7 linked regions of the Ovis aries genome follow. The protein of the gene in region 1 interacts with the protein of each later gene in a pairwise test. Links are inferred from orthologs where the notes say so. Each region holds a gene or a part of one and is shown in the gene's direction. Other genes may lie near its edges. The genes, in order: KLHL12, BAG6, PDGFRB, indolethylamine N-methyltransferase-like, TBC1D10C, FLNA and TTBK2.

Region 1 (3,988 bases):
GCCTGAGCACGGTGCTCAGCTGTGCTGGACTGAGCTGGTGTCCGTGGGACCCAGGGTCTGTGTCTCCTTGGGGGTTTCTGCTTCAGTGCAGTAACTGTGAGAACCATGGGGATCTTTGGGTCATTTCTCATGGCCTTTCAGGTCATTGGGTCCTGGCCCTTAGAGAGCAGTGCACTAGTCTCTTCCTGCTTCACGGAAGGATGTTGGTCTTTAGCGCAGTGCTTATGGAATGGGAAGGAATCAGATACTGGATAAGGGAAGGATGGTAGATCCTCTGGAATCCTTAGAGACAGACGCACAGAAGACACTCATCAGTAAGAGCATCACTGAGCAAGAGGCGTTTGTCCAGTGGACAGGCAGCAGATAAACCTCTGCTCAGAGGGCTTCACGGCCACAGGCAAAGCAACAAGGTGCGGAGGGAAACCCAGGAAGGACCACAAAGGTGAGGCCTGAGACTTGTCTGGCTAAAGTGGCAAAGGCGCCTCTTCTCCCCTGAATCCCAGAGCATTACTCGGAAGAGACGCTATGTGGCCTCGGTGTCCCTTCACGACCGGATCTACGTGATTGGTGGCTATGACGGCCGCTCCCGCCTCAGCTCCGTGGAGTGTCTGGACTACACGGCAGACGAGGACGGGGTCTGGTATTCTGTGGCTCCGATGAACGTCCGGCGGGGCCTGGCTGGAGCCACCACCCTGGGAGGTAGGCTGCTGCACAGGGCGGCGCGTGCATCTCGGTGTGGCTGGATCGGGGTTCACACCTCCATGAAATGTGGAGGCAGCCGGTGGGGTCAGTCACACCTTTCTGGTTTCGGAAACACTCCAAGGCATCTCAGTGCTGACACTGGAGTTGGTAACTCAGGCTCCAGTGTGCTGAGGGGGCAGCTGGCGCTAGTGGTAGTTTTGCAGACTCGCATCTAGGAATGTTTCTGAAGATTCCATCTTACCCTGTTCTTCTCACTTGTCTTGACTGTGCTGTCCTCTTTAAGAAAGACTTGATTTATCCCTTAAAAAAAACCAAACAGTTGTTTCTGGCTCCAGGCATTTGGAAGAGTTGTGGGAGATTTGTAGACAAGGAGTCGTTACAAACCTCTCACTCTCTAACGGTCTGTGGCTCCTTCATTCTGAGCAGATATGATCTATGTCTCTGGGGGCTTCGATGGAAGCAGGCGCCACACCAGTATGGAGCGCTATGACCCGAACATCGACCAGTGGAGCATGCTGGGCGACATGCAGACGGCCCGGGAAGGTGCCGGCCTCGTGGTGGCCAGCGGGGTGATCTACTGTCTAGGTGTGTGGGGTCTGGGACGGGGTGGGGGCGGGATGACTAAGGGCAGCGGCCTCGGCGCAGGATCCCTTTCACTGGAATTGGTTCATAGACTTCCTCCCCCTAAAACCCTGGTCTGTCCCAGTATAGTTTCCACTCACTGGGATTCTCCTTTTCGTGAGAGCAGAAGACAGGTTGCTCTCAGGTTTCTCTCTGGAGCCCTTGAAGAGAGCTGGGACGAAGAGCCTCAGTCAGGGCACTTGAGGAAGGCAGGCCAGGAGCGGGAATCCGCACCGACCATTCTTTCTGGAATGGTTCCCGCTCTGTCTTTCAGGAGGATATGACGGCTTGAATATCTTAAACTCAGTTGAGAAGTATGACCCCCATACAGGACACTGGACTAATGTCACACCGATGGCCACCAAGCGCTCTGGTAAGACCGGGCAGGCCCCAGGGGCCGGAGGCGGAGCTGTCAGAGCTGCCTGGGCAGTGGGGCTGCAGGCCTGTCATCACTGGCAACCTGGGAAACATGGGTCAGGGCCGTTGTCCTCAGTGTCTGTGCTCCCTAAATACAGCGGCATTGGAGACAGCCCAGACTCTCCCTGGGTTAGGGTGAGAGCAGAGCCTCCTTGCCTTGTCTTTTTGTACCTGAGTCCCTCCCTCCATCCTGGCCTCCAGCTCAGCTCTGTGCAGTGGCGTGGGCTGCCTGAGGGAGCATGTGCAGGAGTCGGGCAGGGAGGGGTCTTTCTGAGCCCTCAGGCTGGTGTGGAGGAACAGAGAGCCCTGCCTCCCGGTAGCAGATGCTCCAGACCCATCACGACCCCTCTCTCTTTCCCTCTTTTTTCCACTCCCTTCTCTCATGACAAGGGTTGGGCTCCGAGTTAATGAAAGTGAGATGACGGCCAGGCGAAGAGGGCTGCAGGTGCGTGGCCTGTGCTGGACTAGATCCTCCAGGCTGTCTGGCCCTGGCCCATCCCTCGGCCACTCTGGGGCTCACCCAGCCGTCTGTCAGTGTTTTGTTTCTAGGGTTCAGATCCTCAGCCCAGCAGCCGTCATCTGTTGTGCCCTTTCCTCCCCAGGTGCAGGGGTAGCGCTGCTGAATGACCATATTTATGTGGTGGGGGGATTCGATGGTACAGCCCACCTTTCTTCTGTGGAAGCCTACAACATTCGCACCGACTCCTGGACAACGGTCACGAGCATGACCACCCCGCGGTGCTACGTCGGGGCCACGGTGCTTCGGGGGAGACTTTATGCAATTGCAGGGTGAGGGGTAAATCTGGGATCCAGGGCCGTGTGAGCTGATCCACGTGTGTGGTGGAGACAGGGTTTGGTTCCGCAGAGAGGGCTCCATGGCAATCTTAATGTGGGGCCCTGTGGGGAGGGGGGGCCTTGTGGGGAGAGGTGGGGCGGAGCCTATTGAGACAGGCTGTGGGCGGGGCCTTGTGGGGAGGGGGCGGGGCGGAGCCTATTGAGACAGGCCCTGGGCGAGGCCGGGGCGGGGCAGGGCTGGGGGCGGGGCCGGTGGGCGGGGCCGGTGGAGGTGCGCCTTTCTCTATCCCTGCTGGCCCTTCTCCCTCAGCTACGACGGGAACTCCCTGCTGAGCAGCATTGAGTGCTACGACCCCATCATTGACAGCTGGGAGGTCGTGACCTCCATGGGAACTCAGCGCTGCGACGCCGGCGTGTGTGTTCTCCGAGAGAAATGACTGGGCGAAGAGACAGTTTGCAGAGAACCAAGGGTCCTTTCCAGAATGTCTGTTCTCAGTGCGGGGAGGGGATGACAGGCTCAGTGCCGCGGCTCTCACTGAGCTTATTTGACACGCCCTGGCGTTGGGGGTGTCCCCGAGGGCGGAGGCCGCAGGCACTCGAGGGCGGAGGCCGCACCCTGCATGGGTGTGATCGGCCAGACCCTTCTCCTGGCCGCGGGGGCACTTGGTCCTCGCCTTTAACCTCGTGTGCGCTCCAGAGAATATACCTTGTGCCTCGTGTGCTGTGGACAATTAAGGTGAACATGAACTCCAGGGTGTGGGCAGGGCTGGAAGGGTACCAACTCTCTTGGTTTTCCAAGAATAAATCTCTTTCCTAGTCTACAGGTAACAGGGGCAACAGAGTTCTGTTTTGGAGGAAAACGAGGGAAGAGCCCTGTCAAAACCTCGGGGGCCTCGGGAGTGGGGAACTGGGTGTCCAGTGCAGGACGGGACCTGGATGCGGTGGGGTGTGAGAGAGCCTGCAACACGTGGAAGGCTGAGGGGGCGTGTTACCTGAGGGTCTTTGCTGGGCCCTAGACACAGAGCAGCAGTGCAGGAAACGTGTCCCAGACCGAAGTTCCTGTGACTTCACCATTGCCCACCCCCGCCCCCGCCCCGGCTGCCGCACCTGTATCCCAGGAAGGCTTTCCTCTGTTGAATCAAGGACTGCTTTCTCCACTGTTGCCGTCGGTACTGTTTATAGGGGGAGGGGAGGAGCGGGGGTGGCAGTCGCCTGGTGACTCCCCTGGTTCTTGTAAGAGCATACTTCTGCCAAGGAGTCGTTTTTACTGCTGTGTTTTGTACATGTTGTCCTTTCTTATTAGAACACCCCTTCCCTGTCTTTAGACTGGATCTCACTCATCCCAGGACGGAATAACGATGAGAACCGAAACCCGTTTGTTAGTTCGGCGCCTCCCGGCCTTCTGAACTCCCAAGGCGCCCCTGTGCTGCGCAGAGGCACTCCTGCTCGGAGA
Region 2 (4,563 bases), on another chromosome or scaffold:
GGGAGGCTTTCTCTCTCAAGTTGTTCACTGGAGAAACTATGCACACCGTCCAGAAAAGTCTGCTGACACACGAGTTCATTCACTTAATGTTTATTACTGCAAGAAGCTACAGAATCTAGTGGTTAGAGTATAGACAGTGGTGTCAAGCAGGGTGGGTCCAAACCCTTACTTTGGACAATTTTATTAATCTTGCCTGTTTTCTCATGTATAAAATGAGCAAATCATCAATCTCATAGGATTAGAAGAGCTAAGGCATATGAAGCCCTTAGCAAAGGCCTGCACATAAATCCAAAGTAAATATTCCCTATAATTAATAGCAATGTTTGTAAAGCACTTATTAGTCTCTCGTGGGTATTATGTTCTCAAGTAATAGGAAGTAGGCAAAGAATTGTCAAGAGGCAATCATTGGGTACTGCCAAGAAGATGGTACTTCCTGGATTATTTATAACCCACAGGCTGCCATAAAGATTTGTTCTGAGAGGTGAGGCTTGCTCTGCGCTTGCGATTTAGCTAAAGGAATAAAATTTGGGTGATGAATAGCTGAGGGTTCATTATATTTTTTAACAAAAAACTAAAATGCAAGCTATTGGGGCAGTAAAATAGAAGTGCTTGACCCAAGGGAGTCTGGTAGGCCTGATTTGTCAGTTCTGCCACTTACATGCACCTATATAAAGGGATGTAATAGATGTTGAAAGGCTATTAAATGTGACAGTATGTGAAACCCTCAGCAAACCGGCTGGCACCAACTAGGGGCTCACTATACATGTGCTTATTAAAACTTTCAGTACCGGGACTTAAGTAGAAGCTACAAATCCCAGAAAGGACAGGCACCGGAGGCAGGTACACCGGCAGCAACGGCTCTGGCTGGAGGAGTGGCAGCACTGAGGGGCCCAGGCCCTTGCCCGAGGGGCGGGGGGAGAAGAGGGCAGAGGGACGGTAACTATACCGGACCTTCCACCTGTAGAAGCCCTTAGGCGGCCCTCTCAATCCCCCAGGGTCAGAGTCTTGTGTTTCACTCCAGTCTGACCCCATGTTTCCAATTCCCAAACTCGGAGTCGTCCTTTTTAAGATAAAAGTCCTGAAAGGTCCTAAATCCTTGGTTTCTCCAAAACATGGCGTGTGCCCTCGGCCGCAACCGCCGGGGAAGAACATGGCGCCACAAAACGCCCACCGGGCAAAACCGAGGTCAGGCCCAACGACGCCACCGCACGTAAATCAGCTCGAGAACCACCTCCAACCGCCTATGGAAAGGGTGACTTCCGGAGACGCCGAAGGAGTGGCTCAACGAGGACGATGGTAAGAGAAGACAGGATTCTAGGTGGCCTGGACAGTGCCGCCTCAAATTCTCTGCCGACCAAGACTTCAGCATAGATTTGCGAGGCACAATCCCCAGCCTCCAGACTCCAAGATCCACACAACGGCTCAAAGCCTCTTTCGAGGCAGTGGAAGAGTCCCATCTCGTGTTTTTTATCAGGCATTTATAGCGGCCACCACAACCCCCCTATTGCTTAAGCGCGCGCAGGGGAGAACTGAACAGCGCCAGCTGTGGTGGGGAGGTGCCTAAGGGTGCACGCATGCGTAGTAGGACGCACGCAGGCGCAGTACGGTCCCCCGGGCGACGGCGGTGGCGGCGGCTCTTCGGGGTGCTCGGCTCCCTCCCATCTAGGCCGGCCCCGGCCCGTCTCGCCCCCAGGAACTCACTATTTGGGGCCGCGGACTTTCTGGAAAAGCCCCACAAAAGTAAAGCTTGGGGACCTGGGGGGAGCCGGAAGTACCGCCTCGCGATCCCCAAATACTATCGGGGAAACGGAAGTGGCCGTCGGTGGCAGGTTGGGGGAGACCGGAAGTGACGGTACCGTGGGGAAGTCGGGGGCGGAGCTGGGTGGTAGGGTGTGTGTGTATGTGTGTGTGTGTGTGTGTTTGGAGTGTGTGTATGTGTTTGGAGTGTGTTGGTTGTGCCTTTCTGATAGAACACCGAGGGTACGTGGAAGAGGGAGACAGCTCGCCGATCTAGCCCCCCGTGAGTGTTCGTCATTTCGGGTCTCTAGTGACTTAAGCGGGTTCGATGGGCGTGGCGTGGCGCGCGTGCGCGAAACCACTTTCTCCGCAGAGTCTAGCGCGACCCTCGCTCTCTGGTTGTCCCCTGGGTTTGCCGACTTCTCGAGCCCTTGTCCTACCGCGACCGGTGATGACACCGGTCTCGTGTTTCCTTCCTTCCCGTCTTCCTAGCTCTTCTGGCCCTCCCTTACTGTGATTGGCGTCGTTGAGCCCCTCCCACCTGCCGCCCTCCAGCTCCCCGTGCCGTCGATCTCTTACCCTTTGTGTTTCTCTCCCTGTGCCCCGGAATCAGAAGGGGGATGGGGGCGGGTGTGAGTGTGTGTGCTTGTGTGGGAGAAACTCTTTAGGCATGGGGCGGAGTCTCGGGCAGGGGAGGCTTCCGGGTATATAAAAATCTGCTCTAGGCGACAGCGGGCCTCCTCCTAACATTCTTCCTTAGAGAGCTGTCGGCCATGGAGCCCAGTGATAGTACCAGTACCACTATGGAGGATCCTGACAGCCTGGAGGTGCTGGTGAAGACCCTGGACTCTCAGACCCGGACCTTTATTGTGGGGGCCCAGGTGAGACCCCAGTACTTCTGGGAGACACTCATTAACTCTTCCTCTTACAGGTTCTTTGTACTGAAAGAAGAGCCTGATATTATGGTTTTCAAATTTTCTCTCATTGGTTCTTTTGTTCATGTTGTATCCAGAACATTTTCTGATGTTTCCTCTTTGGCTTTTGTTGGGTGAGGTAGATTTTCTTTGCCTTCCTCCACCTCGATAAAACTCAATGCAGAGGGAAAGAAAGAAGGAGGAATCTGTATGCCAACATGATAGATGAACCCCAGCCCAAAGGGACAGATGTGGCTCCTGCCTTTGGGAAGGCAAACAGAACACTAGGACCTAAAGTAGAAGAGTGTCTTAAAAACTGATGAGGTCTATGCTGTGTTTTTAAAGGATAGGAGTCGGATCCCATAATGCTCATAATGCAGGTAGATCCTTAATAGACAAAACCGTAAGGAGGTTGATCCATAGTTTTAAACACATTGTTTCGTGTATTTAATGAGACTGTGTAGGCTTTTGTGATTAGGTGTTTGTAAACAGCTGGATACTTCTCACAAGTCAGTTGTCTAGTTAGGAAAAATATTTTTCTGACTTTGCCCCTTTTTCTTCTTGCTTGAGTCTGCCTTCCTTAACCTGATTCTCTACCGCATCTTCTTTGTCATTGCTTTTATCTTTAAGGTTACAGTGTTGTATCATTTTGTGTTTGTGGAGGGGTCACCGGTATCTCTAGGCACACACATTCCTTTTGGAGCCAGGCAGAGAGGGAGAGAAGAGAATGTCAGTTGGTGTTTCTGGTCTTCAGCCCTGTAGTTTTCTCCTGGGCCTGTACCTGAAGTTCGTTACGTTTATTGTATGTATTTTGACAAGTGTTGCCCTAGTTCAGGGCTTTGCTCAATAATTACCTCACAATTAAGACAGGTGGGTAGTAATTTTAGGATGGGATGGTTTTTACCCCTTACAAGTCAGCTGTCCCCCTTCTGTCCTTTTTCTTCCACCCCCGATTCCTCGTCATGTTTCTTCTTCCCTACAGATGAACGTAAAGGAGTTTAAGGAACATATTGCTGCTTCTGTTAGCATCCCATCTGAGAAACAACGGCTTATCTACCAGGGACGAGTTCTGCAGGATGATAAGAAGCTCCAAGAATACAGTAAGGGGGTGGGGGAGGCAGAGCAGAGCTTGAGGCTGCTGTCCAGAGCAGTGAGCTGAGGCCAAGGGTTTCCCTGATCATGTAATGTTTTGGTGTGTATCTTTTTTCTGCAGATGTTGGGGGAAAGGTTATTCACCTTGTGGAACGGGCTCCTCCTCAGACTCAGCTCCCTTCTGGAGCATCTTCTGGAACAGGGTCCACCTCAGCCACCCATGGTGGGGGACCCACGCCTGGTACTCGGGGGCCTGGGGCCTCTGTTCATGACCGGAATGCCAACAGCTATGTCATGGTTGGAACCTTCAATCTTCCCGTAAGCTTGTGTTCCTCACGGGAGGGTTTTTGTGGGGTCAGTTTTGGTTGTGGTAGCAGCCAAGAGTTCATAAGAGAGGTGTGTCAGTCTTTAGAAGGGCTTTGGTGGGCTCTCTGGTCTGGTAACAGCCTCTGTCTTTGATAATCTAGAGGGGTCGGGCACCAGAGAATCAGTTGGAAGCGTGGGGGCCTTAGTATTTGGCTTCTCCCAGAGCAACTTCCCTTACCCTTTCCTCAGAGTGACGGCTCTGCTGTGGATGTTCACATCAACATGGAACAGGCCCCAATTCAGGTATCACAGGGCCTGGGAGGGTCAAGGAAGGGGATCTGGGAGAAGGAGGCCACAAAGTGGGGGATGGGTCTGGCTGAAGAGATGGGGCTGGGTCCTGGTTTAGTAGGTAATGGAGCTTGTGGCTTTGTCTCCAGCCTGACCTGATTTTCTCTCTCATTGTAGAGTGAGCCCCGAGTACGGCTGGTGATGGCTCAGCATATGATCAGGGATA
Region 3 (3,781 bases), on another chromosome or scaffold:
CACAGCTCATGGCCTGAGCCATTCTCAGGCTACCATGAAAGTGGCCGTGAAGATGCTGAAATGTGAGTCCTGGGAGCCCGCCCCTCCCTCCCCTCACCCCCAACTCCCCCGCACATTCAGGCACTCCCAGAGCAGGCCTTGTGCTGATTCTCAGGGTGCAGAAGTACAGGCATACCACAGCCAGCAGCACTCCCAATTCTCCTTTGGTAAAGAGGCTTCCTCACCCTGCCCCCTCCTCCAGGAGCCTCCCCGCCCACCCTTTTTCCTTTCTCCTGCCCGTGGGTCCTCACCACCCTTGACCACCTGGGTCTAACAGCACAGACTGGGGCAGAGGAGCCAGAATAGGCTCCAGTGAGGCCTCCGTGACTGGGCCAGGCCTGAGGTCCTCTCTCTCCCTCAGCCACAGCCCGCAGCAGTGAGAAGCAAGCCCTCATGTCGGAGCTGAAGATCATGAGTCACCTTGGGCCCCACCTGAACGTGGTGAACCTGCTGGGGGCCTGCACTAAAGGAGGTACAACCCCCTCCCAGAGGACTCTGGGAAAGTGCCAGTGGCCAAGGCCTGGCCCCTCCCTGCCCCCTCCTCAGTCCAAGGACAACAGGACATTCTCACTGGAGGGCCCGTGCCTACCCAGTCCAGTGCCCTCACTTCACAGAGCCAGACGTGTGTCGGATTAGCAAGTCACAAAACCACATCACCTCTAAGACCAAAGCACTCCCCAGGTCACCATTCCTAGCAGTTTCCAAATCAAGGAGCCCTCTGACGTTTAAAGCTTGTTGCAGTCGATTTTAAAAAGGGTGATACGTAACAGCTCATGAGACACTGAAACGAGCCCTTCCTCTGGAGACCACCAACCGGCTTGCTCACTGAGAGCTGCTTTCACTCGGATCGTAGAATAAGTAAGGTCTCTCCAGCTGAGTGTGTTTATTTGAAACTCTGATTACACGTTAGGCCACACAAAAAAAGTTATCACTACTTTCAGCTGCTTATTGTGAGATTTGGGATTTTCCTCAGTATTGTGCAACCAAAACAAAATACAGAAGTACACTATGTGCGTAGACTAATTTTTGTCTGCAGTGGTCACACATTTCAAAATGTTTGATTCCACCAGTATCTTCAAACTGCCAAGTCAATGCATTGTGCTTGAATTTAAACAGTAACCTGGTAATAATCAGTTGCCTTTGCTTTATATCCTGGGCTCAAATTTCAGCTTCATCAACAACAGCTAGCCCTATGCTTGCAGTTTGCCAAGCACTGAGCTGAGCTAACCAAAGGCATTATCTCATGAATACTCATGAGGTACTTTGGGGTGGGTATTACTAGCCCCATTTGACAGATGAGGATAGTAAGGCTCAGGGAGACTGCCTTGCTCACAGCCAGGAAAATCCAGGTTTGCCTGGGGCCTGAGCCTGTTTGCTGTTCCACATGCAGCCTGTCGTTAGCCTCATGGCTCTGACCGGAAGCCTGAGCCCACCCCGACCCCCTGCCCTGGGACTCTTCCTGAGCCTGTCCTTCTGCAGGGCCCATCTACATCATCACCGAGTACTGCCGTTATGGCGACCTGGTGGACTACCTGCACCGCAACAAGCACACCTTCCTGCAGCGCTGCTCGGACAAGCGCCGCCCGCCCAGCGCCGAGCTCTACAGCAACGCCCTGCCTGTCGGGCTCCCTTTGCCTAGGTACCGCAGGGAGGCTGGGGCCTGAGTTGGTGGGGAGCCCTGAGGAGCACCTGCTTACCCCTCCTTGTCCAGGACAGGAAGTTGAGGCCAGGGTGGGTGGAGCCGCTCCTAGAGCCAGCCTGCAGCCTGGCCCCCTCGGCCACCCTAGAGGTGGGCATGATAATAACAGTGGTGATGATGGTAGCTGCCACCTGCTGGTTGTAGGAGGTGTGCCAGGCCCTGTACTGAGCACTCTGCAGGTGTGATCCCCTTCGACCTCTCACCAAACACACATCATGGTCTCTCCATCAACGGGAAACACCTGGGGCCCTCCTGCTCCCGGTTGACCCTCACTGTAGCTCCACTCTGCTCCTCCCTTGCTGCAGCCTCCCCCCTCTTCCACACAGCAGTCTCTCCAGTGCCTCCAGGGTAGCTATACTCTCTCCTCTGCTTGTCCAAAAATGACATTTCTTTTCTCTCTTGCTCATTGCAAAAGCAATACTAGTCTATTTCAGAGGCAAGAGTCAGTTAAGAATAGCATTAAAAGATGTTAAAATTCATCCATGTTCTCTTCAACATTTTGATTGGTTTCCTTCCAGTGTTTTTTCTCCCCCTAGAGACACATGTATACTTTGTCCCACAGCTCTCTGGGGAGCTGATGCTGTAGGCAGAGGCATTAAGGTGATTCACTGCTCACTTGCAGGGCCTCATGGCTGGACAGCGTCCTTCCTGTGACCCTTGTCTTTGGGTACTGGAATCGCCCTGGGCATGAGTTCTCTGAGGACACAACCTAGATCTTATCGTCATCTTGGCAGCCCCAGTGCCCAGCTCAGGATGGGTCTGAGGTTGGCTGGAAGGGCTGACTACATGGTCGTTCATATTGTGACAAATTGTGAGTGGAGGATGCGTGAGTGAGGGAGAGAAGAAATGCATAAGTGATGGGGCCTTTCTGGCCCCAGTGTTGAGCAAAGGGGCAGGAGGGGGATGGACGGGGAGAGCCTGTGCTACTGTCTCTGTGATGCTCCTCTGCCCCCAGCCACGTGTCACTGCCTGGGGAGAGCGATGGTGGCTACATGGACATGAGCAAGGACGAGTCGGTGGACTATGTGCCCATGCTGGACATGAAAGGAGATGTCAAATACGCAGACATCGAGTCCTCCAACTACATGGCTCCTTATGATAACTACGTCCCCTCTGGTGGGTGCACACAGGGTCCTCACACCTGTGTTGTCATACATTCTTTCCAAACCCTTTCCTCCACCCAGTCTGGCAACAACCCTGCCAGGAAGGTGGCCTTGTGCCCATTTCATAGATGCAGAAACTGAGGCCTGCCACCTGCCCAAAGCTGCTGTGTGGTGGAACCCCAATATCAACCCCTGTTTTTGGGTCAAGAAATGTACACACAGCCTTCAGGGAGGAGAGGAGCTTGGATTGGAGGGGAAGCCTGACCTGCTGGGGCCTCAGGAAACAGTGGTCTGCTCAGAGCAGGCCCCAGGCTGACTAGTGCCCTGAGGAGCAGGCAGGCCAGGCTGAGCAAAAGTGGCCCAGGGCTAATGCCAAAAGTTTTTTCTGGAAGTTGGAGAATTTAAGAGATATTTGGAAATTGTTTTCCTTTTGGGGCAGCCTTAGAGGATCAGGAGTCTCCTCTCTGGGCCATCCAGCCTCTACGAGCCAGAGGCCAGGGTTCTGCGGCCCTGGGGAGACTCAAAATGTCCTTCTGCTCTTCTCTAGCTCCTGAGAGGACTTGCCGGGTGACTTTGATCAACGAGTCCCCAGTGCTTAGCTACACGGATCTTGTGGGCTTCAGCTACCAGGTGGCCAATGGCATGGAGTTCCTGGCCTCTAAGAATGTATGTGTAGTCACAGTGAGCAGAGTGGGGTCCTGGGGAGGGGGGTCCCCCAACCAGCCAGAGTCCTCCAAGTACGTGACCCGTACAGCGTCCCTCTGGTGGCTGAAGATGGCCAATGCCCCACACCTGGTGGCCCCTCATACCTGACCAGCCATGTATTTTTCATAAAGCCCTTGACCTGGAGAGCCTTTCCCCACAATTGCCCCACAGTCTCAGCTCCCATCCCCTCTGTCCCCAGTGCGTCCACCGAGACCTGGCAGCCAGGAACGTGCTC
Region 4 (4,506 bases), on another chromosome or scaffold:
GAAATAGCACAGAGTACAGGTTTTAGTAATTGCAATGGATAAAATTAGAGGTTCTGTTCTGTAGGAACTCCAAACGCTGAAACATAAATGTTGATTCTGGGCAGTAGGATCCAGGGCTGTGCTGTTTGCATCACGGGGACCTCAGTATCACCTAGGATTATTAAGGCTGTAAAATCTCAAGAACAACAATCTGCGTTTAGAGGGATCCCCGGGTGATTCCTGGGCATGCTAGTTTGAGCAGCACAGCCAAGCGACCCTGCTAGACCGCACAGCGTGATGAGGAGACAATACATTTGGAGTGATTCTTTATTTGGGCTTTGGACGCTGGCCTTAAATCTACTCCTAGACCCCGTCACTTGCTGCCAGAACCCCCCTGGGAGAAGGCTCATCACCTTCAGCTTCCTAATCTCCAAGGAGTGAGTAGGTCTCAACATCTACTCCACAGTTCGTCACAAAGAAGGCAGACGATGAGTGTGATGGACACACCCGGCACACTACACCCCAGGGTCCCAGACTTGCCCATTTGCAAAACACATTAGAGTTTGCTACCTGAAATCTCTGATCTTAGGTGAATTTGGGGAAGAGATTTGGAAACACTTTTTTTTTTTTTCTGTTTTTTATCCTTTTGGAAACACTTTTTTTTTTTTTAACATAACTTTTTATTTTGTAGATTCACATGCAGCGTAGGAAATAATAGAGAGAGATCTGAGTACATTTCAATGATAGTATAATGGTAGCATCTGTCAAAACATAGTATCACAACCAAAAAATTGTCACAACCAGAAGACTGCTGGAAATAAACCAGCTCCTACCAAGAAGTCAATCTGAAACCTATTCAGAAGTGCAGGCAACCCTTTTGATACAACCCACAGCCCTCATTCATCTGTTACACATTTTACTAGTAGTTATGCGTGTGTGCATTTCTGTGTGTGTTTGTGTGTGTGATTGTGCATGCAAGCAAGTTCCACAAAATTTAATCACATGTTCTGTTTATGAATGCCAACACTTTTAAAGTGATTTGTGCAAACAGAGGCTTCTCAACCTTTTCGGTGGCCCTGGTTACAATTATTTCTATCCTCACCAAATAAAGGATTGATTAAGCAAATAGAGTAAATAGGATTGAAGATAGGAGGAAATATTCAACCAAGTTCAGGACTAACAATTTAAAGAGCAAACTCACTGACCTCAGTGAGTGAAATTCAGCCATTTCTGCATTCTGTTTTCCATGCTACAGGGTTTTCCTTTCTGCGTTTCATTTCCCAGCAAACCCAGAGAGAGAAGGACACTTGACCTATTCCAGATACTTGCCCTCTCTATGCCTTTGTCTTTGTCTATCTCTCTTTGCTCATCTGTGTCTCTCTCTTTGTTCTGTGGCCCAGACCCTCTGCTTCATTCTCTCCCAAATCTAACCCTTGCCAGCAGCATCTACATTCAAAACATCACCTCTCAGAAACGAAATACTGAGACCCACCAATCCCCCCCCAGGAGCATTTGTTGACCACCCTGTTGGTGTTTCTCTGTTTTGATGATTACCAAAGAGATAAACCCCAGCCAGAAAGCTAACATGTGGCCTGACTCCATGATGTGCAATCCTAGCTCCTCCCTGGGAGGGAAGGTCTGTCTGATGAGATTATGAAACTCCCCATGGGCAGGGCCTAGGGAAAGAGGGTAGATAAAATGGGGAACCGCAGCAGGAGAGAAGCAGCAAGGTCCACAGCCAGAATGGAGGGCAAGCTGTACAAAGGACAGGACTACAAGACAGAGTTCCAACCCCGGGACTACTTAAAGACCTTCTATGCCTTCGATTCAGGCACCGTAGCTGAAAATGAAATCTTGAAATTCAACCTGAATAATCTATTTGAAACTTTCTCTCCAGGTGAGTGTCTGGTCTCCCTCTCAGGCAGACGATGGGGCTGCGCCTTACAGGAAGGGCTCTTGGTGGCAGGGGACCTGGCCTCTGGGACACCACTCACCTAGGAGGCTGCAAAGGCAGCCCAGCTGTGAATCCACGAGGACTGTCACTGGTTGGCCACTCGGGGAACCCAAGCACTGGCCTTTGCAGCCCAGGAACCAGGCCTGAATCTTTGACAGTCCATCTCAGTTTCTTGCCCTGTGAAATGGGAAGGTACCTCCTGAACTGTGCGGCTCCTCACAGACTCATGCTGGAAGGGATAGGCAACAACAGATATGAGCATACTGCCTCCCCTTCAGTAACATAAACGTGGCTTTATAGCCTGGTCTCTTGAGCCGCCTTGAAAACCTGATGAAACATCTGGTATATACACAACACAGAAACACTCTTAATCTTTTACACAAAATTAAGAGGGTTCATGGATACCCAAAGCCAAACCACAGAGCTCAGTTTACAAATTTCTGCTCTGAGTTGTCAGGGTGGGGGGACCGGCAGAGATTATCACCCAAGTCCTCCATGCACACAAGGGGAGGCTGAGGTGCAAGACACCAGGCTGGCCAGCCCAGGTCAGCCCACCTGTCACTGGCAGTAGAAAATCTCAAAATCAGTTCATGCAGGGCTGCCTTGCACAGTTGCACAGGGAGTGCACTGAACAACTAGGGGGTTACTCAGTCATTCAACAAACCTTGCCCTATGTATTCGATGCCAAGAAGGAGATCAAGCGAGGTCCACAGAAATACAGACAAATGAAAGCTTAAGGCTCATCGAGAAATTTTAGGAGACTCTGGAGGAAGGACTGGGATTAAGCCTTGGAAAATGGACTGGTTTCAATGGAGGAGGAGGGAGGGAGGAAGCAGGGAGAGGAAGGCGATGTACTTATACTGCTCTTCCCGCAACTCACCACAAGATCCTCCTGCCTTCCGTGATTGGTGGAGCGAGTTTTGAACCCACTGGCTCAGCTCTCGGCCTTTATCAGGATCTCTGTCCTTGCAGCAAGGAGGTGGGAGGGGGCCGTGGGGTCACTCTCACCATTGCTTTAAACCCAGAGTCAGGAGACTTGCCAATGAACCAGCTTCTACCAAGAAGTCAACCTGAAAGCTGCCCAGAAGGGCAGGACTTGTCCTACCAGGGCTCCAGTAGCAACCCTTGAGGCAGCAGGGGGACCCAGTATGTGCCAGCCTGTGCCCCACTCTCCTTTCTCACCCTTCTGAGCCGCAGACATAGGGTCTAGAATCCTCAGACAGTCCACGTAACTGCCCAAGGCAGGGTCGGATCCCCTGGGAGTCACCCTGGGGAAAGGGCAGAGCCTGGCATCTCCATCCACCACAACTGGCATGGAGTCGGGTGTCTGCCCCCCACACCTGGAACACGCTATCTCCTGCAGGAGGCATTGGAGGCGACATCCTGATCGACGTCGGCACAGGCCCCACCATCTACCAGCTTATCTCGGCCTGCGAGGCCTTCCGGGAGATCATCATGTCAGATTACTCAGAGCTCAACCTCCGGGAGGTGGACAAGTGGCTGAAGAAGGACCCGGGGGCCTATGACTGGTCCCCAGCCATGCAATACGTGTGTGGGCTCGAGGGAGACAGGTATCCACAGTCCCCATCCTTCTCACAAGACGTCTCCCATCCTCACAGGCCTGAGTCTGAGCCTGCCACCCTGCATCACTGGCCAGCTCCTTCTAGCTTGTTCCTAACCCACTTGGGTCTCTGGCCCAGAGCACCTCCCTCCCTTTGAGTGAGTCCCACCTGCAGCCTCAGAGTTGCCTGTGATCAAAGCTTCGGTTACCTGATTTGCTCTCCATGTTTTGCATCCCTTCCAACCTGTGGGACCTTTTCCAACCTGTGGGAGCTGGAAGCTCCCCTGATTGCTCCAGCACACGCAGATCTCTTTGCTCTCAAAACTCGTGGTTCAGCTTCCACGTTACCTAGTGTTGGAGGGGCACGTGTTATGGGAAGACATGAGCTTCTTGGAATCACCCACATCTATCTCCTCCACACTGCTACCAAGTCCCAGAGACCAACAGCACTCAGCCCCTCCAGGCACCTTCCCCATCCAGTTCACAGAGAGGGAATCCATCAACCAGAGTCCACGAAACCGAAGCCCAGATGTGGAGAGTGACCTCTAGGTCACCTTAGAGCAGGACAAAGACCAGACTTTAAATTCCTGTCCCATCTTTCGGCCATGGGGGCCTGACCAAATTACAGACTAAGGGCAGCCTGAAATGGAACAGGGCCTCAGGGTCTCTGAGCACAGGGTCTCTGCATCATCCCAGCCTGGGCTTCATACATTCTTGTCATCATTCACAGAGAGCATTCTGAGAGTCAGGTCACTTCCAGATGCTGGGAATAGCACAGTGAATGAAGCCTCTGCCCCGTGGAGCTCACATGCTCGTAGGAAGCACAATGCCCCCAAAGTACATGGAGGAAGGATTCAGGGAAAAACAAGCGTTCTAGAGAAGACTCTCCAGCCGCAGGGGCCTAGAGAGGTATAGGTGCTATGTTAGGTGGGAGGGTGTTTTACTCACCTTGAGCCATCATACGAAATGTCACAGATGCGGTGGCTTGAACAAAGACACTCACTTCTCTCAT
Region 5 (3,568 bases), on another chromosome or scaffold:
TGCCCACCCCCAGGAGGCCTTCTGGTGCCTGGTCCAGATCTGCGAGGTTTACCTTCCTGGCTACTACGGGCCCCACATGGTGAGAGGCAGGGACGGGGGGGAGGGCTGGGGGGGAGTGGGCGCCTGGGGACGCCAGCCGCCGGTGCTGATGGGCGTGGCCGCAGGAGGCTGTGCGGCTGGACGCTGAGGTGTTCACGGCCCTGCTGCGACGGCTGCTCCCTCGCGTGCACAAGCATCTGCAGAAGGTGGGCGTCGGGCCCCTGCTCTACCTGCCCGAGTGGTTCCTGTGCCTCTTCGCCCGCTCCCTGCCCTTCCCAACGGTGCTGCGTGTCTGGGACGCTTTTCTTAGCGAGGGTGAGTGAGGGGCCGACCAGGTGGGCGGGGGCAGGAGGGGGTGCCTGGTGGGCACGGAAGGTGGAGGTGCCAGCTTCGCTCTGCCCCACCGCCACTGCCGACCCTGATCTGGGGCCTGGGTGCTGGGGTGTGCTGAGGGTAGTCGCTGTTAGCCATGTATCACCAGTGGGAGGAACAGCAGCCCCTGCCACAATCAGTGAGATCACCACAGGGAGGGCACAGCATCCACGTGGGGGGAGGGCTGGAGTCAGGGAGGCTTCCCCAAGGTCGATGGGGCAGGAGCTGGAGAGACCACAGCAGTGGCACAGCTCGGGGACTGGGCACTGTGGGGGCACAGCAGATGGAGCCCCTGGGCCCTCATTGCGAGCCCTCAGAGGCCAGGCACGCCTCTGGGAGCCAAGGCCACTTGAGTAAGTGAGACCTACATTCTGGTGGGGGTGGGGATGGGAGGCGGTGGTACCAAATTAACAAGATATTTATAGATTGTCTTAAGTTCCATGAAGAAAATAAAACAAAGGACATACCAGAGTGTAGGGGAATGGCAGGAGAGGGCTGTTTAAATACGCTGGCGGCCACTCCTTGAAAGAGGCAGATACGTGGAGCCGGGTGGAGAAGGAGAGGCAGGCAGGGCCCTATCCGCAGGGTCCCAGCCACGGATGACTTGAGGGGTGCGGGCATGGGGAGAGGTGCCAGGCCAAGAGCGGGGGGCAGTCGGGGCAAAGCTGAGCTGGACTCTGGATCTCTGGGGCCCTGCCTGGTACCCCCATCAGTGGCACAGCTGCTTTCTGTTCTATGCGGGTTGTCCAGCGGTTGCGTGGTAGAAATCCACCAGTACATCTACTGAGCACCCGCTGTATGCCCAGTTGGCTTCAGAGTGGGTTAGCATTCTAACCACGGACGTCCAAGTCACTGTCTGCTTGTCCTCCCCTGCACTCGGGCCTCGAGGGTGGCACAGGCAGGGCCCCGTGGAGGTGCCCTTGCCCGTTGATAACGGTGACGACCTTAGTAGTCCTGTTGTCTCTTCACACGGCACAGTGGTCACCAGGCCTCACTGGTCCCCCGACTGCCTTTCTCAGCAGACCCGAGGCTGCCAGGGAGGGGCCCTGAGGCTCCAGGAGCAGGCCAAAGTCACGTGCGTGTGCGTGCCTGCATGTGCTCTTAGCTTAGGGGTGAGGAGTTCTGGCTTGAATCTTTCTAGAATCAGAAGCTCACAGATCTGAGCTAGAAAGGCTGTCTTGTTACCACCCAGCCCTTCACTGGATGGGGCACGGAGCTGAGGCCCAGAATGAGAAAGCCCGTGTGAGGCTGTCAGTAGCCCTTGGCTCCTGGCAGGCTGTGCTGCCCATGAGCATCAGTGGCTGCTGGGACCCGCTGGCTGGTGTCCCTGGATGGCCGACCTGCTCAGTCCAGGCAGCAGAGCTGCAGGAGGGTGGAAGGAGTCTGGCCGAGGACAGGTTCGGGCCCGGGCTGAGAGCCGGCCCCGCACTGAGCGAGCCCCACTGGCCTGCAGGTGTGAAGGTGCTGTTCCGCGTGGGGCTGACCCTGGTACGCCTGGCGCTGGGCACCACTGAACAGCGCCTGGCCTGCCCGGGGCTCCTGGAGACGCTCGGCGCCCTTCGATCCATCCCCCCTGCCCAGTTGCAAGAAGAGGTCTTCATGCCCCAGGTGGGTGCCCCTTGCGCGCCCCCTGCAGTGGCCCAGCAGCCCCCTGCACAGCTGGGGAAACAGGCCTGGAGGAGTAGTCACAGTAAGCACGGGGCTCCATTCTTGTCCTCTGAGCAGCAGAGAAGGTGGAAACCCCAGGCCTCAAGTGCCTTTTAGTCTGCCTCTTTGTCTGTCAGGCCCTCAGCCCTCAGCCACTTCCTGGGGCTGTGTGCTGCCTGCCCTGCGGGGATCTCATCATTTCCTGCCCTCCCCCAGGCTCAGTATCAACTGCTCCCCGCAGGTGCATGGCGTGGCCCTGTCCGAACAGGACCTGCAGCGGGAGATCAAGGCCCAGCTGGCCCAGCTGCCCGCATCAGCATCCGAGCCACCCCCGAGGCCACAGGCCCGCCTGCCGGGGGCCCCAGCCATCTTTGAGGCCCAGCAGCTGGCAGGAACCCAGGGGAACCCCCGGCCCGAGGTGCCTCGCATCGTGGTACAGCCCCCAGAGGAGCCCCGGCCGCCCCGGCGCAAGCCCCAGACCCGAGGCAAGACTTTCCACGGGCTGCTGACCCGGTCCAGGGGCCCCCCTATCGAGAGCCCCGCCAGGTCCCACAGAAGCTCCACCTCCTTCCTGGACACCCGATTCTGAGGGTAGGTCCCACTTCTGAGGGTACCACGGACTCAGGGTCCCCCTGATCCCAACTGCCTGAACAGTGGATGCCAGCCTTGAAGTGGGCACCGCACTTTACAGCTGGGGTTGGATGCCTCATTCCTTTCCCATGGACTGCCTCAGGCCTGAGGAGGACGGAAGGGTGCAGAGTGGGGTTTGGGGGACCCAGGCCATCCCCCACCCACAGGGCTGCCCCAGTGCCTGGGCCCTTGCACACATCAAGCTTGCACTGGAGGAGTATGCAAGAAAGGGCATGGGCTGGGCCACAGGGACCCCAAAAGGCTCATGAGGGCCCTGGAATAAAGTCTGAACAGAAGCCTGCATGGGGTCAGATCAATGCCCTCTACCCGAAACCTTCCACCAGCTGCCCCCTCCTGTTACGGCCCCGCCCCTCCTAGTCCCGCCCCAGCTCCCCAGGGCACATGGAGGCTGCCCGTTGGGTGCTGGAAGGTGTTTACCAGCTACAGGGACCAATGGCAAGCTGCAGCACTCAGCCTCTTGGGGCCAGGTGAGGCTCCTGTGCCTGGGGGAGGAGGGCTCCCCCAGTGGACGCTGGGCCCACATGTGGGACTCTGTCTCCTCTTCTGCTCCCTCCCCTTGCTGATTTCAGGAGCACACCCAGCAGTGGGAGCACTCTATCCCAAGTCTGCCCCCCCACCCCACCCCGGGTCCTAGTCCCGTCCTCAGAGAGAGCCGGCTGAGAACAAAGGCCTAGTGTGCCCGGACAAAGGAGAAAGGCCCCGCCGGCCCTTGCCCCCTCCTGAAACCCCAGCCGCAACCCCTGGGGACTGCCACCATGGAAACCCCCTCCCACACTTGCTAATTGCCCCCGTGGGTGCCCGAGGTGCCTGGGACATGAGCCATTGCCAGGACAACAGGGCTGTTTCCGAGGCAGGCTCA
Region 6 (4,270 bases), on another chromosome or scaffold:
GTGTCCCTCCTTGAAGGATAGCCTTGGCCATGAGCTACCTTGTGGACCTAAACTGAGACTGCTCATCTATCAAGGGAGGATAACCCACTGCCGTGAGGGGCGGAGGGGTGGATCCCACTAGATGGGGCGGGGAGAAACAGAGACCGAGGCCACTGCTAGGCGATCTCACCTGGGGTCAAGGTGGAGAGGTCATTGCCAACAAAGGCAGCAGTGGCTGCGGAGAGGCCTGGAGGGCAATCAGTGCCTTCCTGTTAGTGTGCAGCTGTAGATATCAAACTACGTTAGCAGGTGACAGCAGACTTCTCCTTTCTTCCCCCCTGTTCCTTCCTGCTTCTCCCCTTTTGCCTCCCTCCCTCCCTTCTTTTTGGAGAAGGAAATGGCAACCCACTCCAGTGTTCTTGCCTGGAGAATCCCAGGGACGGCGGAGCCTGGTGGGCTGCTGTCTATGGGGTCACACAGAATCAGACACGACTGAAGCGACTTAGCAGCAGCAGCAGCTCCCTTCTTTGCTTTTTCTCCTTTAATGAAGTAGAATAAAAGAAGAAAGATCAGAGTGCTTTTCAGGTGGTAAGGGACAGTCTCACTTCGTGGAACGTTTATTTCAGCCATTTGTGTCGATCTGCGTGTGTGCCTGCAAATATTGGCTCAGGATGTAAGATGCAGTTCTTTGTGGGGGTTGTGGGCACAGTGAGAAGACACTGCTTTGTGTGGCTTTCCCCGAGGAAGTGACATTTGAGCTGAATACGACGCTGTTAATACCAGGAAATGGGCACACAGAAGACGAAGAGGGAGCCTGGCAGTGCCAGGGTGTGGCTGTGCCCACCTAGTTCCCCAGACGCTTGGCTCCTCGGCTGCACCCCACTGTCCATGCCCAGGCCTCAGGACTGCAGCTAACTGTGCTGCTGAGAATTCAGTCCACTTCTGTTGCTTGCTTCCAGGCCAGGCCTGGCACTGGGCAGGGGCCAAACCCATGCCAGCCCGGGATGTTGTTTGGCTTGTCTTGGGGCTCAGGTCCCTGCCCCCGTGCAGACTTTCAGGTGGGAGGCTCTCAGTGCATACCTGCTAGAGCCTGTTGCACTTCCCCCTCCAAGGTAGAATCCAACTAGTCCGACCAGCCCCAGGCTTGGGGTAAAGGTAGGGGGGCGGCGCAAGACTGGGCAGCTCCCTGGAGGAGGTGGCCTTCGTTGCTGGGCCGAGACGCAGGCTCTGCAGACCCTCCGGGCCGCCCCTCCCCGTCAGCAGAGGGTGAGCTCATCTCAACGGGGGTAGGGGGGCGTCGCCGGCTGCCCAGGCGCCTGAGCTCACGGCGCGCCCCCGCGGGGCCCCCCCTCGAAACCCCCCCCCCGCCCCGCTCCTGGGTGATTTTTACCAATTAAGGCTTTCTCGTCGGGCCGAGTCGGGCCGGGTGCGGGGCGGGGGTGCGGCCAACAAGAAGGCGGGCGGCAGCGGCCCATTCGCGTGGAGGCGCCCGGCGCGCAGCAGACGCCAGCAGAGCCCCGAGGCGCCAGGCGCGGGCTCGAAGATCTGCCAGGCGCCACCCCGCGGCCGCCGGCCGCCCGCAGGGAGAGAAGGTGAGGCGTCCGCGGCGGGCACCGGGCGGAGCGGTTGGCGGGCACCGAGCAGAGTGGTCGGCGGGCAGCTCACGGAGTTGGTGGTGGGGTGCCCGGGGCCAGCTGCAAGCCGGGGTGTGGTGGTGCAGCCGCCTTCCCTGGTTTCCTGGGGAATCTGGGTCTGGCCCCGCAGTGTGAGAGCCCAACAGCCATGGGGGTGCCCTGGGAGGGTGAACTGGGGGGCAGGTCATTGCATGACTGTCCAGGAAGGCAGGGCTCTGAAGCAGGACGTTGTGTGGGGTCAGGGCGAGAGGCCACCTGGAAAGACACTTTGCAGCCAATATGCCCCCAGGAGGGATGTCGACGGTCGGTTCCTCCCTGACATCAGTGCTCTGGGCATTGGCTGCGTTGGGTAGAGGTGTGGGGCTGGCTTCTGGGCTGCTGCGCTCCACTGGGGCGAGGGCACATGGGGTTGGCCATGCTAGATTCGAGGCTGGGCCCTGTCCCAGGTTGGCTCTGAGCTGGATGTTCACTGCCAGGCAGGATGTGAAGGCCAGCCCCCCACCCCCACCCACCCCAATTCCTGGGCCAGGAGGAGTAGGTGACGGCCGCTGGGAGACCCACCTGCACGGGCTCCTAGCAGCGCAGTCAAGGTGGGAATTCAGCCCTGGAGCGTTGTCAGCCTGCCTGCCACACCTGGGCTTGGGCAGCCTCTCCTGCCACCCTGTGCCTCTCTTTCACCAGCCGTGGGAGGGCCTGGCTTGGGGTCTGAGGGAAGGAGTTGGGGTGGGAGGCGGGGTGTGTCTAACAACATCCAAGAAATCGACTCCAAATAAGGGAAAATATGAAAGAGCTGTATTTCAGCTTCCAGGGACTGCCCTATCTGGGGGCTTTGGGATGGGGCGCCACCTGGTGGTGATACTATGTCCCCTGGGGACAAGAACTCGTTAGAGCCCCATCTCTTATCACCCCCCAAATAGGGAAGAAGCCTAAGGCTGGCAGCCAGGGCTTCTGTCCCCCTTTCTGCTGGAGTTGGCTGCTGGTTACTGACGCTGACTCAGTTTCCCTGCTCTCTGCAGATTAAGAAAAGAACACAGATAATGCAACTGGATGGCACTTGTCAAGTGACAATGAACTCTCAGTATGATTCTCTCCTTGGGGGACTGGCTCTTCAGGGGGGCAGGGGATCAGAAGGATGGCTCTCATCTCTGCTTGGGTGGGGCCTGCTAGGGAGGAGTCTGCACGGGTCCCCCTCTACTGCTGTCACTCCCACCTCCATCCCAGTCCCCAGACACCATGGTGTGGAATTTTGCGCAGGTGTGTCTAAAGTGGTCAGGCCTTTAGACTGAAAAATGTCACTGGTGAGCAAAAACCAGTGTGGGGTACCAGGCAGCCCCAAAGAGAGCATGCTGGAGGCCAGGTGCTGACTGCAGCCCCACTGTGGGTGACACAGTCCCCAGGGCTGTGAGAGTTGGCCTTATTTGGGCATGCTGACCTAGGGGCTTCTTTCCCACTGGTCTTTAGCAGAGAACTGAGGTACTGCTAGTAGGAAGCTCGATCTAAGTACGAAGCAGGAGGGACAGAGACATGCCTTTCTGGGGGAAAAAAAAAAAAAGATGTGAAGAAGGGAACATCCTGCAGAGGGGAAGGACACAGGACCGAGGGAAGTGAGTCCACTCTGGGGACGAAGCCACCAGTAGGCTGGCTTCTCCAGACTGAAGAAGGTGGCAGTGACTGTCCCTGACAGGCCTCTTGCTTCTGTGCCTTTGTTGGTCTTAGTATCCCCCCCATAGTCTCCAGTTATCTACAAGAAAATGTATTTTGAGCGAATAGGTCCCCAGTACCCAGTCCTGGCTCCACGGCAGGCCCCAGCTGCCTTTCATGGTTTGCCCCCCCTCAGTCCCCTGGCCCCCCTGTCCGGGAGGCCTCCTCTGTTCTCCCACGACCCCGAAGCCCACTGAGACCCAGGTGCTCAGAGTGCATTATCGGAAGCCCGGGGCAGGTCCCTCTGGCAGCCTCCTGGGTCACGCTGGGCTCAGGGGCCATCCCAGCCACGGAGGGGAAGCCCCTCGCGCCTCTGGTAGACTGCCGGTGGGTGAGGCAGGCTTACCCGCCATCTCTGCATGCATCGCATCACAGGGCACCCCGTGCCAGTGCCCATTGGCATGCCCAGGCCCCTTCCAAGGCTGCTGGCTCCTGGAGCGCCGGTGGCCTCCTGGCCCAGTGCCCCATTTCCTCTGGGGTGCAGGGGGGAGGGAGGGAGGCGGTTGGGACCGGCGGGCGCAGGCCAGGATCCTGCAGAGCGGGAAGGCTTGCTGGGGCAGGGGTTCTGGGGTTCTGGGGTTCTGGGGGTCTGGGGGGCGGCTTAGGGTCGTGCGGCTACGGCCTTCCCTGGCGTGGCGCACGCACGCCCGGCGCGGGCAGCAGAGCCTTCTCCAGACCCGCGCTCTCCAAGGGCTCGCCCCTTCGGATCGGGCCCTTTCTCTCGGCTGCCGGCGAGGCGGCTGGCTGTGGCGCGGCCAGGGACCCCCGAGCGCCGGAGGTTGGGGGGGAGGGGGCGGCGGGGACCGAGCGGAGTCCACGTGACTCACGGAGGGCGAGCCACCCCCCGCAGGGGCCTTGGGGAAGGAAAGTCCCTTGTATGGTGTGCCCGCTGCAGGCCAAGCGGTCCCCCGCTCTAGACGTTGCTCAGCCTTTCATCGCTGCAGCGTCTCCTACAG
Region 7 (4,550 bases), on another chromosome or scaffold:
TAGCTTGAAGAGGGCACACTATATTTGCTAAGTGAGTGAAAAATATTCTCTTCAAATGGAGAATAGCTATTTGAAATCCTGCTATCCATAATTTCAATGAATCTGGACTTTGTTTCCCCCTATAAACATCTTTAAAATTAAAGAAAATCATTTACAGAAACACTGATCCTTTCCAATTCAAATTACTTGCCCTGACAATACCCTGAAGTGAACTATATTCTGTGAGACAAAGTAACAGAAAAAGCAACTTGTAGTTTCAATCAGTGGAAAGAAAACAATTTGGCAACTTCTTAAAGTTTGAATAGAAGAGAGCTGCATCATCAATTGCCTTTAATGTATATTTTGTCCTGCTTTTTATCCAAGGATCTAGACATGACAGAAGTGCCTGCTGTTTTTCAAAGAATGTCAAGAGGCTGTGGCATTTCCTGAACAAGAAACAGATTCAATAATAGTTATGAGACTGAATATAGGATTCATATTTAATCATTATATATTCTTAATCAACTTTAATCATAAGGTCACGAGGAAATAAAAAGATTTAGAGTAAAATGAAGCTAAGAATTCATCACAATCTTTTCAATCCATGGGATTTCAGGCTCCTGGGAATCACTGTGATTATTACAGCACCGGACACGGGAGTTTACCAGACTGGAGTTTGGTTCTTCCACTAATTAGTTTTGTAGCTCTAGGAAAGCTGTTAACCTCTTTGAGCTTTTTCTTCGGTAAGTTGGTGGGTAAGGATGGCAGAGGGGTTTTATCATAAGGTTTCCTCTTTACCAAAGAGCTTGATACACCAAAGACAAATTAACCCACACAGCCTCGTTGCTCCGCCCTTCTCGCTTTTCTTTTAAAGTCTTAGTGGGACTCCCGCAGTGTCGCCCAGAAGCCCATACTGGACACCTCACGGGGGCTGCTCATTGAACCCTTCACTGGGGGTGTTTCCCAAAAAGGGAGCGAAATCTTGTTCTTGAAAACCGTAAGGATACGCCGGGCTCCAGGCTGACTCCTTTCTGGCGGTCTTGGTCTCCTTTCTTCCTTACACTTTCAGGCCTGTTCCCAGTACACACCGGTGAATAGCTTCATGTTAGGCTGTTCTGGGGATAGAGCCAGTTTGCCAGATCCTGGCAGCGAGGGTTCTGAGGAGGTGGCAAGGCAGGGCCTCAAGATTTGGGGCCCTTCACGACCGAACACCTCGGTGTGTGTAAATTCGTATCGTGACAAAGCATTTCCGATCTTCCTCCGAAAAGACCAATCCTGGCGTCATAACTGTGTCTCTATAACCAAGATAACTGCTGAGTTAGGACGACACCACTATGCGCCAAACACCAGTCTCAGAAGCCCTACTTCGCTGCTCGGGACGAGAGGGCAGTTGCGGCTGCGGCTGGAACTACAAGGACCAGAATTCCCGCGCGCACGCGCGCTGCCATTGTGATGCTCCTTTCCCGGTAACTCGCCCTCTCAGGCAAACCTGAAGATAGCGGCAATTCTCCGGTGGGGGGCGGAGACGCTCTTTGCCTGACTCTCCGCCCCTTTCGTGATAGGCAATGGGACCAGCCAACCGACTTGGCGGGCTTGGGACGCGCTCTCCAATCAGCACCTGTGGCGGAGAGGTGGGCGTGCGCACTGGCAGGGCAGGTGGGCTAGGCTGTGCTGGGTTGCGAAGGGGGAGAATAACGTCGGGTCGGGTCAGCGGGCGCTGCAGTAGTCGCCGCAGCGGCGATGGGAGCGGTGGGGACCAGGCGGCGGCGGCGGGGGCAGGAGGAGGAGCAGAGGCTGGCACAAGCACAGCGGCTGGGGGCGTCCAGCAGCCGCAGTAACAGCAGCAGCCGCCGCCGCCGCCAGTAAACGCGGACGGTACCCGAGGGGACTACCCAGCCGGCCGGCCCTCGAAGCCGCGCTCCGGTCCCGCCGCACTTGGCGGTGGGGGATGGGCAGGCGGCGGCCGTCCCGTCTGCTGAGGGTTGACCGCTGCCGGTCCCGGCCCTGAGCTGGACCCGAGCCCTCCTTCCGAAATCCCTGAGACCGCCACGGCCCAGGTAGGACACACCCCCCGCGACCCCCGCAGGACGCCGCTGGGGGAGCCCCGCCCCCCGCCCTCTCTCGGTCCTGACCCCTTCCTCCGGCCGCGCCCCTCGCCCAGTGACGGACCCTGGTGTAGAGGGGAGGGGTACCGGAGACTCCTCGGTCGCTACCCACGCCCTGGGCTTGCGCCAGACTCAATCACTCCAACTCGGAGACCGTCTGCTTCTCCCCGGTTTCCCCGGAGGGTTGTGCCCCGTATCCCCAGAGGCTTTTGGTGTCTTCACTGAACTTGGGAGGGTCACAAAGCTTCGTTCTGTCTCTCTCTCTGTGGGTGACCCACATACCACTTGTATTCATGCTGCTTCGGGTACCAGGACTGAACACAGAGGATTCTCAGGATATACTAAACACTTCTTTCCCACCTCGCTTTCCCAGATCTAATAGAAGAGGGCACGGGACTATAGAATCTGTTTGTTGTGTAGTAACGACCGTGGAAACCGTGACTTTCTGATACTTAGGGTGCGAGGTAGACCTGAGGGATTTGCTCCTCATTTCCTTTGACTAAGATGGTGTTGACACCCTGGAATGTTGCGGGAGGGACAAAAGACTCTACACATACTTACTATCAAATCAGAAGTAAATAATCCAGTGGGATGCCAGGATACTTTATCCACAGTGAACTTAATTTTATTTCAGTCGTGGTCGCCTTAGAGGTATAAATGACATTGAGTTGTACTTTGCTTTGAATTAAAGTTGATAGGTGGCAGCAATCCGGTATTACTCTTCTCATCCTGCACTTTGGAAATTGTTCTTTTTTTGAACATTAAAGAGGGCAATTTTATAATAACCCATGTATTATGTAAAGATGCTTTGGTATTAAATAAAAATTGAGTTTTTAACACATATGTGAGGATCATGATATTATGAATGTGCACCTGCACACACACGGAGGATCCACTCAGTGTATTTTGTTACAGTGTTTGGTTCTGATCCATTAATAACAGTTGCATTGATTTCTAAATACTGATTTGCTAAGCTAGACTGCAAAGATGTATTTGCTGTTTTCTTTCGGCTGAATGGAATAGAGTAACGTTCATTTGTCAGGGAAAGGATGATGGGCAATTTATTTTAAAGCTGAATGCTGGTTTTTTTTTTTAATAAAGCAGTAATCATGACAAATATTACTTATATGACTAATCTTGAAAAATTCATCTCAACTCTAAAATTTTTTCAGATAACAAGTGTGTGGACTTGGATGATGTTTTGTGCTCTTTTGAAGTTGAAAACATACTGAAAGGAGGGTCTAATTTAGAAGCTTATGTTTTCCAGGTGATACATTTTGTCTGTGCTGAAAGGGATGTTTGAAGCATGGTTATAAAAGAAAGTTTTTGTAGTAACTTTTCCTTTATGTTACCAAATGATTTTTCTTTTTTTTTGTTTTAGACACATAAAAGAAATTGAAGTCCCTAGCATCATTAATTTGTAATATTAAGTTGAAATAAATCTGATCTTCAGTAGGAGAAGGAAATGGCAACCCATTCCAGTGTTCTTGCCTGGAGAATCCCAGGGACAGGTAGCCTGGTGGACTGCCATCTGTGGGGTTGCACAGAGTCGCACAGTCGGATACGACTGAAGCTACTTAGCAGCAGCAGCAGGAGGCTAAGAATAGTGTATCTTATACTATAGTTGATACATAAATAGGAAATTCTTTATTGTACTTTATATGACTTCAGATTTTTGTGTCTTTTTTTGACTTCCTTTTAAATACTTATTATTTTAATGCCTCAGGAAATCTTCATGAGTTTAAGGCTCATTTGCTTTAGTGAAGCGAGTATAATACAAAAAACTTTTGAGGGTATTTTACATTTAAAAAAATGTGACAGTGCTAGATTGTGGTTTTCTCATTGTAAATAAATATTACAGAGCTGAGTATGCTATGACATGGAATTTAACTTTGGTGGTGATGGGGGGAGCAGGCAATTCTTTATATAAGTTTTGTATCCTAAAGTAATGATAATTTGCTTGCAATTCAGGACATACTGTGAGCTGGAACCACCCAACTGAGATACTCTCAGATTCCTAATCCTCATGATAAATGTTTGTTGTCTGAGAAAACAAAAAATAGTGTAAAACAAGAGAAAATGTTTGAGCATTACTGAACTAGTGACAGATGAATTGATTAGCAAATGAAAAAGCATTTGAGAACTAATGGACAGTATAGCTTGCTTCCTTTCCCATTGAAAAAAAATCCCTAATAGAAAAATTCTTTTATAGATATGTGGCATTCTTTACAGTTTGAGTGCATGTTACTCAAAATTACTAGAGTCATGTGTTTCTTTCTTTACTATTTTTGAGGTTTTTGAGAAACATTCAAAATATAGCTGGAACTATATCAGTTTATTTGGTTAGTATTTAATATGGCAGGACATTTTTAATATTTATAGGTTTTAAAATATGAAATTAAATGTTTATACTGTTTTACTTCATTGTCATTTTGTTGTTGTTGTTATTATTCAGTATATTGTAAA

The links.
Region 2: the proteins of KLHL12 (region 1) and BAG6 interact in binary tests that used the Homo sapiens proteins (3 or more experiments, as listed by UniProt). The two-hybrid records come from large-scale screens. The link is inferred for Ovis aries from reciprocal best matches to the Homo sapiens genes KLHL12 and BAG6.
Region 3: the proteins of KLHL12 (region 1) and PDGFRB interact in binary tests that used the Homo sapiens proteins (3 or more experiments, as listed by UniProt). The two-hybrid records come from large-scale screens. The link is inferred for Ovis aries from reciprocal best matches to the Homo sapiens genes KLHL12 and PDGFRB.
Region 4: the proteins of KLHL12 (region 1) and indolethylamine N-methyltransferase-like interact in binary tests that used the Homo sapiens proteins (3 or more experiments, as listed by UniProt). The two-hybrid records come from large-scale screens. The link is inferred for Ovis aries from reciprocal best matches to the Homo sapiens genes KLHL12 and INMT.
Region 5: the proteins of KLHL12 (region 1) and TBC1D10C interact in binary tests that used the Homo sapiens proteins (3 or more experiments, as listed by UniProt). The two-hybrid records come from large-scale screens. The link is inferred for Ovis aries from reciprocal best matches to the Homo sapiens genes KLHL12 and TBC1D10C.
Region 6: the proteins of KLHL12 (region 1) and FLNA interact in binary tests that used the Homo sapiens proteins (3 or more experiments, as listed by UniProt). The two-hybrid records come from large-scale screens. The link is inferred for Ovis aries from reciprocal best matches to the Homo sapiens genes KLHL12 and FLNA.
Region 7: the proteins of KLHL12 (region 1) and TTBK2 interact in binary tests that used the Homo sapiens proteins (3 or more experiments, as listed by UniProt). The two-hybrid records come from large-scale screens. The link is inferred for Ovis aries from reciprocal best matches to the Homo sapiens genes KLHL12 and TTBK2.

What each region holds. Positions count from the first base shown.
Region 1 is NC_056065.1:79,311,764-79,315,751, forward strand, and holds the end of KLHL12 (kelch-like protein 12), read left to right. Parts: intron 1-503; coding exon 504-699; intron 700-1,128; coding exon 1,129-1,287; intron 1,288-1,597; coding exon 1,598-1,696; intron 1,697-2,342; coding exon 2,343-2,529; intron 2,530-2,845; coding exon 2,846-2,972; 3' UTR 2,973-3,363; downstream 3,364-3,988. UniProt on the Homo sapiens protein: Substrate-specific adapter of a BCR (BTB-CUL3-RBX1) E3 ubiquitin ligase complex that acts as a negative regulator of Wnt signaling pathway and ER-Golgi transport.
Region 2 is NC_056073.1:26,725,865-26,730,427, forward strand, and holds the start of BAG6 (large proline-rich protein BAG6), read left to right. Parts: upstream 1-1,598; 5' UTR 1,599-1,852; intron 1,853-1,857; exon of another isoform or gene 1,858-2,020; intron 2,021-2,081; exon of another isoform or gene 2,082-2,369; intron 2,370-2,497; 5' UTR 2,498-2,510; coding exon 2,511-2,618; intron 2,619-3,633; coding exon 3,634-3,751; intron 3,752-3,864; coding exon 3,865-4,061; intron 4,062-4,298; coding exon 4,299-4,352; intron 4,353-4,514; coding exon 4,515-4,563. Other genes in the region: APOM (apolipoprotein M), read right to left, coding at 789-1,152. UniProt on the Homo sapiens protein: ATP-independent molecular chaperone preventing the aggregation of misfolded and hydrophobic patches-containing proteins.
Region 3 is NC_056058.1:59,242,800-59,246,580, reverse strand, and holds part of PDGFRB (platelet-derived growth factor receptor beta), read left to right. Parts: coding exon 1-62; intron 63-400; coding exon 401-511; intron 512-1,518; coding exon 1,519-1,678; intron 1,679-2,693; coding exon 2,694-2,854; intron 2,855-3,388; coding exon 3,389-3,507; intron 3,508-3,745; coding exon 3,746-3,781. UniProt on the Homo sapiens protein: Tyrosine-protein kinase that acts as a cell-surface receptor for homodimeric PDGFB and PDGFD and for heterodimers formed by PDGFA and PDGFB, and plays an essential role in the regulation of embryonic development, cell proliferation, survival, differentiation, chemotaxis and migration.
Region 4 is NC_056057.1:67,134,845-67,139,350, forward strand, and holds the start of indolethylamine N-methyltransferase-like, read left to right. Parts: upstream 1-1,700; 5' UTR 1,701-1,722; coding exon 1,723-1,876; intron 1,877-3,296; coding exon 3,297-3,504; intron 3,505-4,506. UniProt on the Homo sapiens protein: Functions as a thioether S-methyltransferase and is active with a variety of thioethers and the corresponding selenium and tellurium compounds, including 3-methylthiopropionaldehyde, dimethyl selenide, dimethyl telluride, 2-methylthioethylamine, 2-methylthioethanol, methyl-n-propyl sulfide and diethyl sulfide.
Region 5 is NC_056074.1:41,706,463-41,710,030, forward strand, and holds the end of TBC1D10C (carabin), read left to right. Parts: intron 1-13; coding exon 14-79; intron 80-164; coding exon 165-354; intron 355-1,864; coding exon 1,865-2,019; coding exon of another isoform or gene 2,020-2,101; intron 2,102-2,299; coding exon 2,300-2,647; 3' UTR 2,648-2,989; downstream 2,990-3,568.
Region 6 is NC_056080.1:80,076,383-80,080,652, forward strand, and holds the start of FLNA (filamin-A), read left to right. Parts: upstream 1-1,456; 5' UTR 1,457-1,571; intron 1,572-4,270. UniProt on the Homo sapiens protein: Promotes orthogonal branching of actin filaments and links actin filaments to membrane glycoproteins. Anchors various transmembrane proteins to the actin cytoskeleton and serves as a scaffold for a wide range of cytoplasmic signaling proteins.
Region 7 is NC_056060.1:36,387,401-36,391,950, reverse strand, and holds the start of TTBK2 (tau-tubulin kinase 2), read left to right. Parts: upstream 1-1,695; 5' UTR 1,696-2,036; intron 2,037-4,550.